Linked DNA regions of Cricetulus griseus. The protein of the gene in region 2 binds, or shares a complex with, the protein of the main gene of each other region. Links are inferred from orthologs where the notes say so. Each region holds a gene or a part of one and is shown on either strand. Other genes may lie near its edges.

What was found. Proteins that work in one complex are often made in the same cells at the same time.
Region 1: Smarcd2 (region 2) and Arid2 share a complex: the UniProt entries of both Homo sapiens proteins name them as parts of the SWI/SNF-B (PBAF) chromatin remodeling complex. The link is inferred for Cricetulus griseus from reciprocal best matches to the Homo sapiens genes SMARCD2 and ARID2.

What each region holds. Positions count from the first base shown.
Region 1 is NC_048595.1:392,797,206-392,802,022, reverse strand, and holds part of Arid2 (AT-rich interactive domain-containing protein 2), read right to left. Parts: intron 2,951-4,817; coding exon 2,869-2,950; intron 1,956-2,868; coding exon 1,821-1,955; intron 1,220-1,820; coding exon 1,023-1,219; intron 660-1,022; coding exon 1-659. UniProt on the Homo sapiens protein: Involved in transcriptional activation and repression of select genes by chromatin remodeling (alteration of DNA-nucleosome topology). Required for the stability of the SWI/SNF chromatin remodeling complex SWI/SNF-B (PBAF).
Region 2 is NC_048600.1:119,214,624-119,219,440, forward strand, and holds part of Smarcd2 (SWI/SNF-related matrix-associated actin-dependent regulator of chromatin subfamily D member 2), read right to left. Parts: intron 2,591-4,817; coding exon 2,406-2,590; intron 2,255-2,405; coding exon 2,212-2,254; intron 2,075-2,211; coding exon 1,952-2,074; intron 1-1,951. UniProt on the Homo sapiens protein: Involved in transcriptional activation and repression of select genes by chromatin remodeling (alteration of DNA-nucleosome topology).

The DNA of each region.
Region 1 (4,817 bases), on a different chromosome or scaffold from region 2:
AGAAGTTGTTACATACTGTGGGGGTGCTATGATAACAGCGTCTTGTGGCTGGCTACCAGCTGCTGTCTGTTGAGATGAAGTGTGCATAGGTTGTGGTGATGTGGTGATTAACTGTTGACCCTGTGAAACTGTAGATGTACATGCTGGTATGTTCTGTACTCTTCCAAATATATGACTCTGTGGTACAGTTTGCTGAATTACTGTAACAGGAGTGCCTGAAGGTATCTGTCCCGGTACCACTGTGTGTAATGGAGATGGTTGTGGCATCACAGATGGATGGTGAAGCAATGTCTGAGAATTCACAACTGTAACAGGTTGTGGCCCTGTACTATGATTCTGAACCACAGAAGTCTGTGCAGGTCCTCCTCCAAGAGCAACACTCACAGGAACTGCTGTCTGGGGCAGAGAATTCTGGATTACTGTTGCTTTAACGACTTCACAAGGAATTGGGGCTTTATTCTGAATGACAGTCACTGGAGCATTTTGTTGCTGGTGGGTATGAACTGAAGGATTTGGTGGAATTCTAGAAACAGTCTGTGCCACAGTATGAACACCTTGTACTGGAAAAGACATTTGTGTTGCAGTCAAATTTGAAGATTGATTGGTAACAGGAGTCCTCTGAAAATGATTTCCTACAGCTTGTGATCCATGAGGGATTCCTATATATATGGGGAAAAATAAAAGTTACAAGTAAAATGACTGTAAGATGTCAAATGTCTTATTATCTAATTTAATACAAGAGGAAGGGTGTAAAGAAATTAATGCCCAAAAGACAGGAAACATTAGAGTATGGTGACACCCATGAGAAACACTGTAAACAGCACAGGGCAAGGCCATCACTTAATATACAAAATACACATTTACATTCTAGCAATCCTTAAAACATTGAAAAACTTGGGGATACTGCCATTTGTCTGTAATCCCAGCTTTCAGAAGGACCCCAAGTTTGAGGCCAGCATGGTTTGTACAGCAAGACCTGACTGCATATATAATAAATGAATATTAAAATTGAAAGTTAATACCTGCAGGTGAAGGTGTTGGAGACACATCAGCAACAGAATCAACGCGGACAACAGGAGTGGAAACTGGCTGTTGCTGATAGTACATCTGGATGGGGAGTGGTATAGCCCTCCGTTTCACTCCTATGACATGAATATGTGCCTGCCCACTGCTATTGGAATCCTCCACTCTCTTCACTGTATGATTTGGAAAAACTGTTCTGTAAAATAACACACACTAATTATGAAAAACAGGACAAAAGTACAGCACTGCCCCCAGCAATGCTCAGAGCATTGCCATTGCTACTAATGCATTGACCAATGAGTCACAATGTCATAGTCTGCAAAAGAGGAAAGATAGATATGTACAAGATTAATTCTCTAATTAAAGAACCATTGCTTATTAACAATGTTGAGTTTTAAGCAATTTATATATAACCAGTTTTTAAAAACATGTATGTTTATGAATTTAGCAAAGCACAAAGGTCTCATATTTGGTCAAATGCATATCAACAACATATTAGGATTCAAGACTTAAAATGAATAATGTCTTCAACATTTCAAAGAAGGTAGGAGAAAAAGGGGAATTTGACTTCCTACTTTTCTTTCTTTGATAAACATTATAGAAACATTTCTTTCTTTGATAAGACATTATAAACCCTGCCTCAACACAGTGACTTTACTTGAGCCTCTACTGAACTAAAGCCAATGTGTGGGGAAGTTCAAGCAGTAGAGATGCAAAAGTCAGCAGCCTTGTGGTGTTTTCTCTAGTATGCAAGAACAACTGACATGAATGAATCTTTGAAAAGCTGGTCACTTTACCTCAGACACCTGTAAAACCCAGTTGATGTGAGGATGCCACCACGAGCTAATTTACTACAAGTTGAGAGGTACTCAGAATACATTTCTGCTCGAGAGACTGAACAATCTGGATTTACTTCAAAATGAGCATTCAGCCTAAACAGAAAAAGAGAAAAATTAAGACATTATATACCATGAACCTCCATGTATATTAAAAGATAAAGTGTTATACTAATAATTACTTCAACTAACCAAATTTCACTACCTCGTATGTCAGTAGTAAAAATACACATAAGGTTTAGACAGATTTAATGAAATAGGCCAATTGTTTATCATATTTACTAAAGGAGTATAAACAAAAGCTACAGTTACATCTCAGCCACAGGAAGGATGGTCTGTTAGCAACAGTTCTCTAAGAAGCAGTGTTACCCAGTCATTATCTGGTGGTGTACCTGTCTTGCAATAACTCCTAATCAAAGGCATCATAGTGTGCACTGAGGTCAAGGAAATAGTGGAAAACTGAACTAATTTTTTCTCTGCTCTTGGATCAAACTCCTTCAGCCAAGACTCACCAAAGCTTTCCAACTGTGCCATCAAACAATGACATATTACGCACAGCCACTCTCATCTCAAAACACTTCCATTTGTACTTCTAAGAAACTAACACACTTCTTTTTAGAGTCAAGTCCATCTACATTAAAAACATGTATGTAAGTCAGCATTAGAAATCTTGTTAGCTTTGTAAAGTCTCTTTCCAGAACTCACTAGCAAAAGAGGTCAACCTGTTTCTCATACATTTAATTAAATAGTAACAATGATAAAATAATTTTCTCTCATCCTTGTCAAAAGTGGTAATTGAGAGGCTATGCTCAAGGAGAGCCTGAGCTACACAGCAAGCACCTGCCTCAAACACACAACCAAAACCAAACAAAGATGATATTTAACAACAAAACCTGATTCTCCAATTTAGTTTTAATAAAACTGCTGGGTAGCTAATAAATCCATTTCTTTTTCTGTTGGTTTGTTCTTCCCAAGAATTTTAAAGCTGTAACAGAAACAAGCCACTTACCACTGACAAGCAAACTTTTCACTATCTATTTCCACTATTCCTGGAGGTGGAGCGGCATGCTGTGTCACAACTGTTCTGGAAGCTGAAGAAAAAGAAAAAAAAAAAAAAAAAAAAAAAAAAAAAAAAAGAGCTCTATCATTTACTAAATTTAGACACTATATGCTACATTCCTGGGCACTAAACCAGTTCTTATTTATAAAGAATGTCTTTCTACAAAGGTATGGAAACACGTGAAAATAAAGAAATTAGAGAAAAAAAGAAAAGTGATCATGCATATTAGGTACTATTTTAGAATCTTCCTATTTTGTTTAGCCTCATAATTATTAAACAATAAAATGGATAATTTAGCTACTAGCAATATAAATTGTTTTTCCCATCTCCCGAAACTGATTGAATACTTCACATATTTATTATTTTCTCTAGTTATTTGTTATGTAGGTACAGATAAGAAAAGCCACAAAGTGATTAAAACAGAACCTGGCCTGAGAAAAGCTGTGGACCTATGTGGGAGGGGAGCTCAGCTTGTTGGTTGTGTGCTTGCCTAACCTAGGTATAAAGCCATACATTCAACCTCAGCACTGCAGTCAATAAACAAACAAATGAACAAACGGAAAGGCTAAGGTCATCAGCTCAATAAGCATCTGTCAGTTCAGCTGTACAATGCATTGGAAGTGATAAATTCATTTTTAAATTTAAAAGGTGAATATTAATTCTATAGAGTTTCTAGGATAAAATGGGACAAAAAGCAGGAGGATTACCAATTCAAGGCTAGCATTGGCATCAAGAAAAGACCTATCTCAAAATCAAGCACAGATATCTTGCTTTATATAAGTAATAAAAATTTAGCTTTGTTGATTAGGATCCGAGTGTGAGCTGTACACTCATGCCTATACTTTAGCCCTAGCACCCAAAGCAGCACCTACTACCCACCCCAGCTTTATCAGCTTGGCTTTGTGGCAGACATTCTCAAGTATTAAATAAGGGAAATCTGTACCATCAAAATTTTTACAAGAACTAATCAAAACATATGATATATAGCACTTTATAACAGAAGTAGCACTGAAATATAGTGATGCTCAATATTGAATACTACTTCAATTTTTTTAGTACAGCAGTCTAGACCAATAGCACCAGCACCTCATAGGAACTTGTTAGAATTAAAGTTCTTAGTTCCCACCTGACTAGAAAATTAAGAACTCTGTGCTGTATGTATATGCAGCCTTCAGACAATTCTGCCATACTCTCAAGTCTGTGAACCATCAAGTAGAAACCATGATTACAACAGTCTTGTAAATACCTTTTAAAGATACAACCCATCTAAAGATGAAGCAACAAGTCAAGCATTTCATAATTCTTCGGTTTTAACAGAAAGGAAGAAAGAAGGAAGGAGGGAGGGAGGAAAGGAGGATGGAAAACAAAAATAGCAGAGCTCTAGTTGTTAGATGAACAATAAAAATAAGTTTAATACCTTTTGGATGATTGTTAAAAAAAATTCAAAGAATTACAAACAAGTTCTGTCCTTGTCCACTTAATGACGTAACCTAAATTGTCAACTAGTATCTGCAGTTCCAACTCAGTGATCTCTTGGGTGACCCTGGCTAATCTCCATGAATTACAAAAAAGTCAAGTCTTGAATGGGAAAGGGACTGCTGGGATAAGGGAGAGAGGGTTGATGGAATGAGAAGAGAAAAAAAATGGACTAATCAGAATACATGCATGTATGAAATTGTCATCAATTTAATAAGAGAGAGAAAATAGCATTAATGCTGGTTCCAGTTCCATTCTAGCAATAAATAGTACACAGTCACACATATACTACATTCATGGCTTCTGGACACTAAAAATACTTACAAACCTGTATTTACTCTTGTCTGATGTACTACTTATACTAAATCTTGTAATTATAAAACAAACTTTTAAAAGAGTTTCTTAAAGACACAAACTTTTAC
Region 2 (4,817 bases):
AGTGCTGGCCCCCTTGGGGGAAGGAGGGGCTGCACTGGTTGATTACTGACGAGGCCAATACCACAGCTATATACAACATGATACTAGGCAAATCAGAAGCCTCTGGAGCTAAGGGCATGGCTTAATGATATAGCAATATATGAGGTTAACATATATGAGGTTGTAGGTTCTAAACCCCCCACCCCCATTTAAACACCCACTATAGTCCTTCAATACCTTAGTCTCCTAGAAAGTCTCTACCATTCAGGGGACTGCTCTAGATAATTAACAGAGAAGGAAAGAAAAGAAAGCTTCTTTAGGGATGGGGTGTGAAAAGGTAACTACTCAGTCTACTCTCTGGCAGCTCTCAAATTTCTGACCATAAGCTGTGAGATTTACCTTCTGGGTCATAGGAGCCACATACGTATAGACATAGGTAGACGCGCGTGCCTACATGCGCAGGCGAAACAGTTCTCATACAGTGCTCTTGCTGCTGCAGTGCGTGCTTCACTAGTGCTAGTAGGCTATGTTTGGGACACAGTAGGCTGGGCACGATGGTAAAGGCTTGTGATCACAAGGGAGGACCGCTTGGTGCTCTCCCTGCCGTGAGGAGCCCTGCCCTAGCCTAGGCAGAGAGCCCTGCCCTAGCACCCCCGAGCAAGGCCGCCCGTCAGGGAGGGCAGTCTGGGGAAGCGTGTACCGTCAGGGAGCCCTGCTCACCCCCGAGCAAGGCCGCCCGTCAGGGAGGGCAGTCTGGGGAGGCGTGTACCGTCAGGGAGCCCTGCTCACCCCCGAGCAAGACCGCCCGTCAGGGAGGGCAGTCTGGGGAAGCGTGTACCGTCAGGGAGCCCTGCCCTAGCACCCCCGAGCAAGGCCGCCTGTCAGGGAGGGCAGTCTGGGGAGGCGTGTACCGTCAGGGAGCCCTGCTCACCCCTGAGCAAGGCCGCCCGTCAGGCAGGGAGGGCAGTCTGGGGAGGCGTGTACCGTCAGGGAGCCCTGCTCACCCCCGAGCAAGGCCGCCCGTCAGGGAGGGAGGGCAGTCTGGGGAGGCGTGTACCGTCAGGGAGCCCTGCCCTAGCACCCCCGAGCAAGGCCGCCCGTCAGGGAGGGAGGGCAGTCTGGGGAGGCGTGTACCGTCAGGGAGCCCTGCTCACCCCCGAGCAAGGCCGCCCGTCAGGGAGGGAGGGCAGTCTGGGGAGGCGTGTACCGTCAGGGAGCCCTGCCCTAGCACCCCCGAGCAGGGCCGCCCGTCAGGGAGGGCAGTCTGGGGAGGCGTGTACCGTCAGGCAGGGAGGGCAGTCTGGGGAGGCGTGTACCGTCGGGCAGGGAGGGCAGTCTGGGGAGGCGTGTACCGTCAGGCAGGGAGGGCAGTCTGGGGAGGCGTGTACCGTCAGGCAGGGAGGGCAGTCTGGGGAGGCGTGTACCGTCAGGCAGGGAGGGCAGTCTGGGGAGGCGTGTACCGTCAGGGAGCCCTGCTCACCCCCGAGCAAGGCCGCCCGTCAGGGAGGGAGGGCAGTCTGGGGAGGCGTGTACCGTCAGGGAGCCCTGCCCTAGCACCCCCGAGCAAGGCCGCCCGTCAGGGAGGGAGGGCAGTCTGGGGAGGCGTGTACCGTCAGGGAGCCCTGCTCACCCCCGAGCAAGGCCGCCCGTCAGGGAGGGAGGGCAGTCTGGGGAGGCGTGTACCGTCAGGGAGCCCTGCCCTAGCACCCCCGAGCAGGGCCGCCCGTCAGGGAGGGCAGTCTGGGGAGGCGTGTACCGTCAGGCAGGGAGGGCAGTCTGGGGAGGCGTGTACCGTCGGGCAGGGAGGGCAGTCTGGGGAGGCGTGTACCGTCAGGCAGGGAGGGCAGTCTGGGGAGGCGTGTACCGTCAGGCAGGGAGGGCAGTCTGGGGAGGCGTGTACCGTCAGGCAGGGAGGGCAGTCTGGGGAGGCGTGTACCGTCAGGCAGGGAGGGCAGTCTGGGGAGGCGTGTACCGTCAGGGGCTTCTTGATGGCCTCTTGGATCTCCATCCGCTTGCGAGCGATGGTCTGGTCCAGCTTCCTCTCAAAAGCCAAGAGGTCCATGTACGCCTGAGACTCTGGGACAAGCTCCCGGATCTGCAGATTGAGAAATGCAGCGGCTTGCTCCACCAGCTCCAGTTCTACAGTCCTTCCTCCCTTCCCCATTGCAGGATTGGGGAAGATGGCTCTGATGCTAGCCAGCCAGAGCTGGGCAGGCTTCCTAACACACTCACTCGCTGAGGTAGAACCTTATCTGCCATCTTCCTCCTCTTTAGCCTAGGAAGGAAACAGAAACCATTTAAGAGGTTAACAGTCCAAACTCTCCATCTTCAAAACCCTCTCCCAAATTGCCAAGAGTCTCCTTGGGGTCAAGGTAGAGGGAAACTGAACGCCAGAGATGAGCTAGCAAGGCACAAGAATGTCTTACCCTCGGCGCTGGGCAGGCATTGGGGGCTGGGCCTGAGGCACAAGCAGGCGTTTTCGGAATGGATCCATCATGGTAGGTGGCATGCCAGGTCGAAGCGGAGCAGCTGTGCCAAACGGGGAGCCAGCTGGAGGTCCCACCTGCAAGCCAGCCATGGGCATCCTGCTTCCTGGTGACATGCCAGGTCGCTGGGTAAAGTGGAACAGTGGGGGTGCACAGGTCAGTGGCAAAGCCCTACGAGGTCCATAGCCCATACCCTCCATCTCTCTCGAGCATGGGGAGACCTGCTGGAGACCAGGAACAAAGGGGAACAGGCGCCTGAGCCCAGCGTGTAAACCACACCTGCCCCGCCCCTGCAACCGCCCTGGCAGGCAGTGCCAACAAATGAGGCAGCCAGAGTCCATGGGTGGGAGGGGAGCACCACTTGCAGAAAGAAGGGCCTGGGGAATTTTTTAGGACTTATCACCCCTTCCCAGCTTCAATATGCCATGTCCTGCACCCTGGGGTGAGCCAGCTTTGAGCAATTTATTGTCTTTAGATGGGCCACTATATACTCCCTATTCCTTTCCCCATCCTGAAGAAAAAACATTACTTGGGTGATTAGGGGCAATGCATAGCAACCCAAGGGAGTACAGGAGTTATAACAGTCTGATGGGGTATGCATGTCTAGTGGCATGACTGGGGAAGAAAGGCAGTCAGTGGGGTGGCAAGCCATCAGGCAGCAGCACCCCAGGTGAGCAAGGACAATAGGATGGCTTGGCCATGTCACAGCTTGTGGAGATGGCCTCAGGAGAGTGCAGACACCATCTGGCCACCATATGGCCTCCACATAGCCGGGACCTGTCCTTCCCCCACCCTTCTCTCTCACACTCTTCCCTGCCACCATGCCCCTACCTATGTCAAAGGACTCCCAAAAGGGAAGTTATGGTTCTTGGGAGCCTGTGGGAATGAGAGCAGCAGACATCTGGATTCTGCCCATGGTCTAGGCACCACCTGGCAGCCAGGCTGCTGCTGGTTCAACTTAACCCTAGACATCCCAAGCTGCAGAATAAGACTGACCTGGGATGCAAGGGCTTAATAAGGGTCAACAGCAACAAGTAGCTTCTTGGTTTCTCATCCAAGGCCCTGTTCCCCAACATTTCTGGGAGCCCTCCACCTCCCAACTCCATTCACATGGCTGCTGCCTGAAAGGCCTGTTTGGCAGCTCTGCCTTGCACAGACTGTCCCTGGCAGCTTCACAGGGCTGGCCCCAGGGCCCAGGTTATGCAATCAATCAGTACAACCAGACAACCAGGCCAGCCTGGGTGGAGATTCACACCAAGTTAAAGGAGACCCCCCTCTCAGCATCCTGGAGATGAGTCTCTGCAATTTCTTTATCCAGCACTAAACCCATGTTCTCAACCACAGAAGGTCAGATTCATGACCAGTAGCAGAGACGGAGGGAAAGAAACATGACCCAGAGACAAGGAGCAGGGTGACAGGGAGGCATGTGGCAATTGAGGAGTTAAAAGTGGGAGACCCTGGGACCTCGGGAGTCCTGCCACAAGTCTCTCCTCATCAGGAAGAAATTCATCAAAGCTGTTGAAAGGCAAAAGCAGCCTGTTTCTCTGCCCTAATAAGCCAGAGCCAGAAATTAAAGGGGGGGGGAGGGTAGACAACAACTCAGGGTTGCCACAGCTGTAAGACCCTCCACCATCATCCAAGACTTCAGGTTTTCCTAGGGTAATTGCAGCTATAAGCTGGGGTGTTCAGTGCCCCCAAGCTCTTCACTGAAGTTCATAAAGCCTGTTCTACTGCTGAGCCCTCCAGGAAATCCCAAGTCGAAGCAGCCCAGGCAGGCCTGGAATAGGCCCCACCCAGACATCTGCTCCAGACTTCTGGGGCTCAGGCTCCAGGCCCCCAGCTCACCCAGAACCTCAGGGGAAGGCTGCTCACAATTCAAGTCCCAGTTCCCCCTGGCCAAGCTCCACACCTGAGCTTTGAAGAGCCAGAAACTCCTCCTTAAAAACTCAGGTTAGAAAACAAAACAAAGTCACAGCCATAGCCACAGCTTCACAGCCTCTGCCTGCTTGTCCTACCACAGGGGTAGGTGGGCCTGGTTCAGTCCCCTGGACCCCAAAATGCAGTAACTGCTTCTACTTGGCCAAACACCCCACACTCTAGACTTGATTCTGTAACCACCAAGGAGACAATGGAGAAGGCTAGGCCTGACTCTGCCATCTCTGGGTAGGAATCTAGGGCTCAAGTAAGCATGTTCTGCTCTGACCTAAAGCCTGTAGCTCTGGTCCTCAGATGGCTGCCTGGGCCTAAGAGCCTCATTTGGAGAACATACCCTGACCCTATGAACAGAAAGTATTCTAAACTCTGAGCTGAGTGAACTCAGCAATAATGCACAGTAGGTCTCTTTGTTTTGTT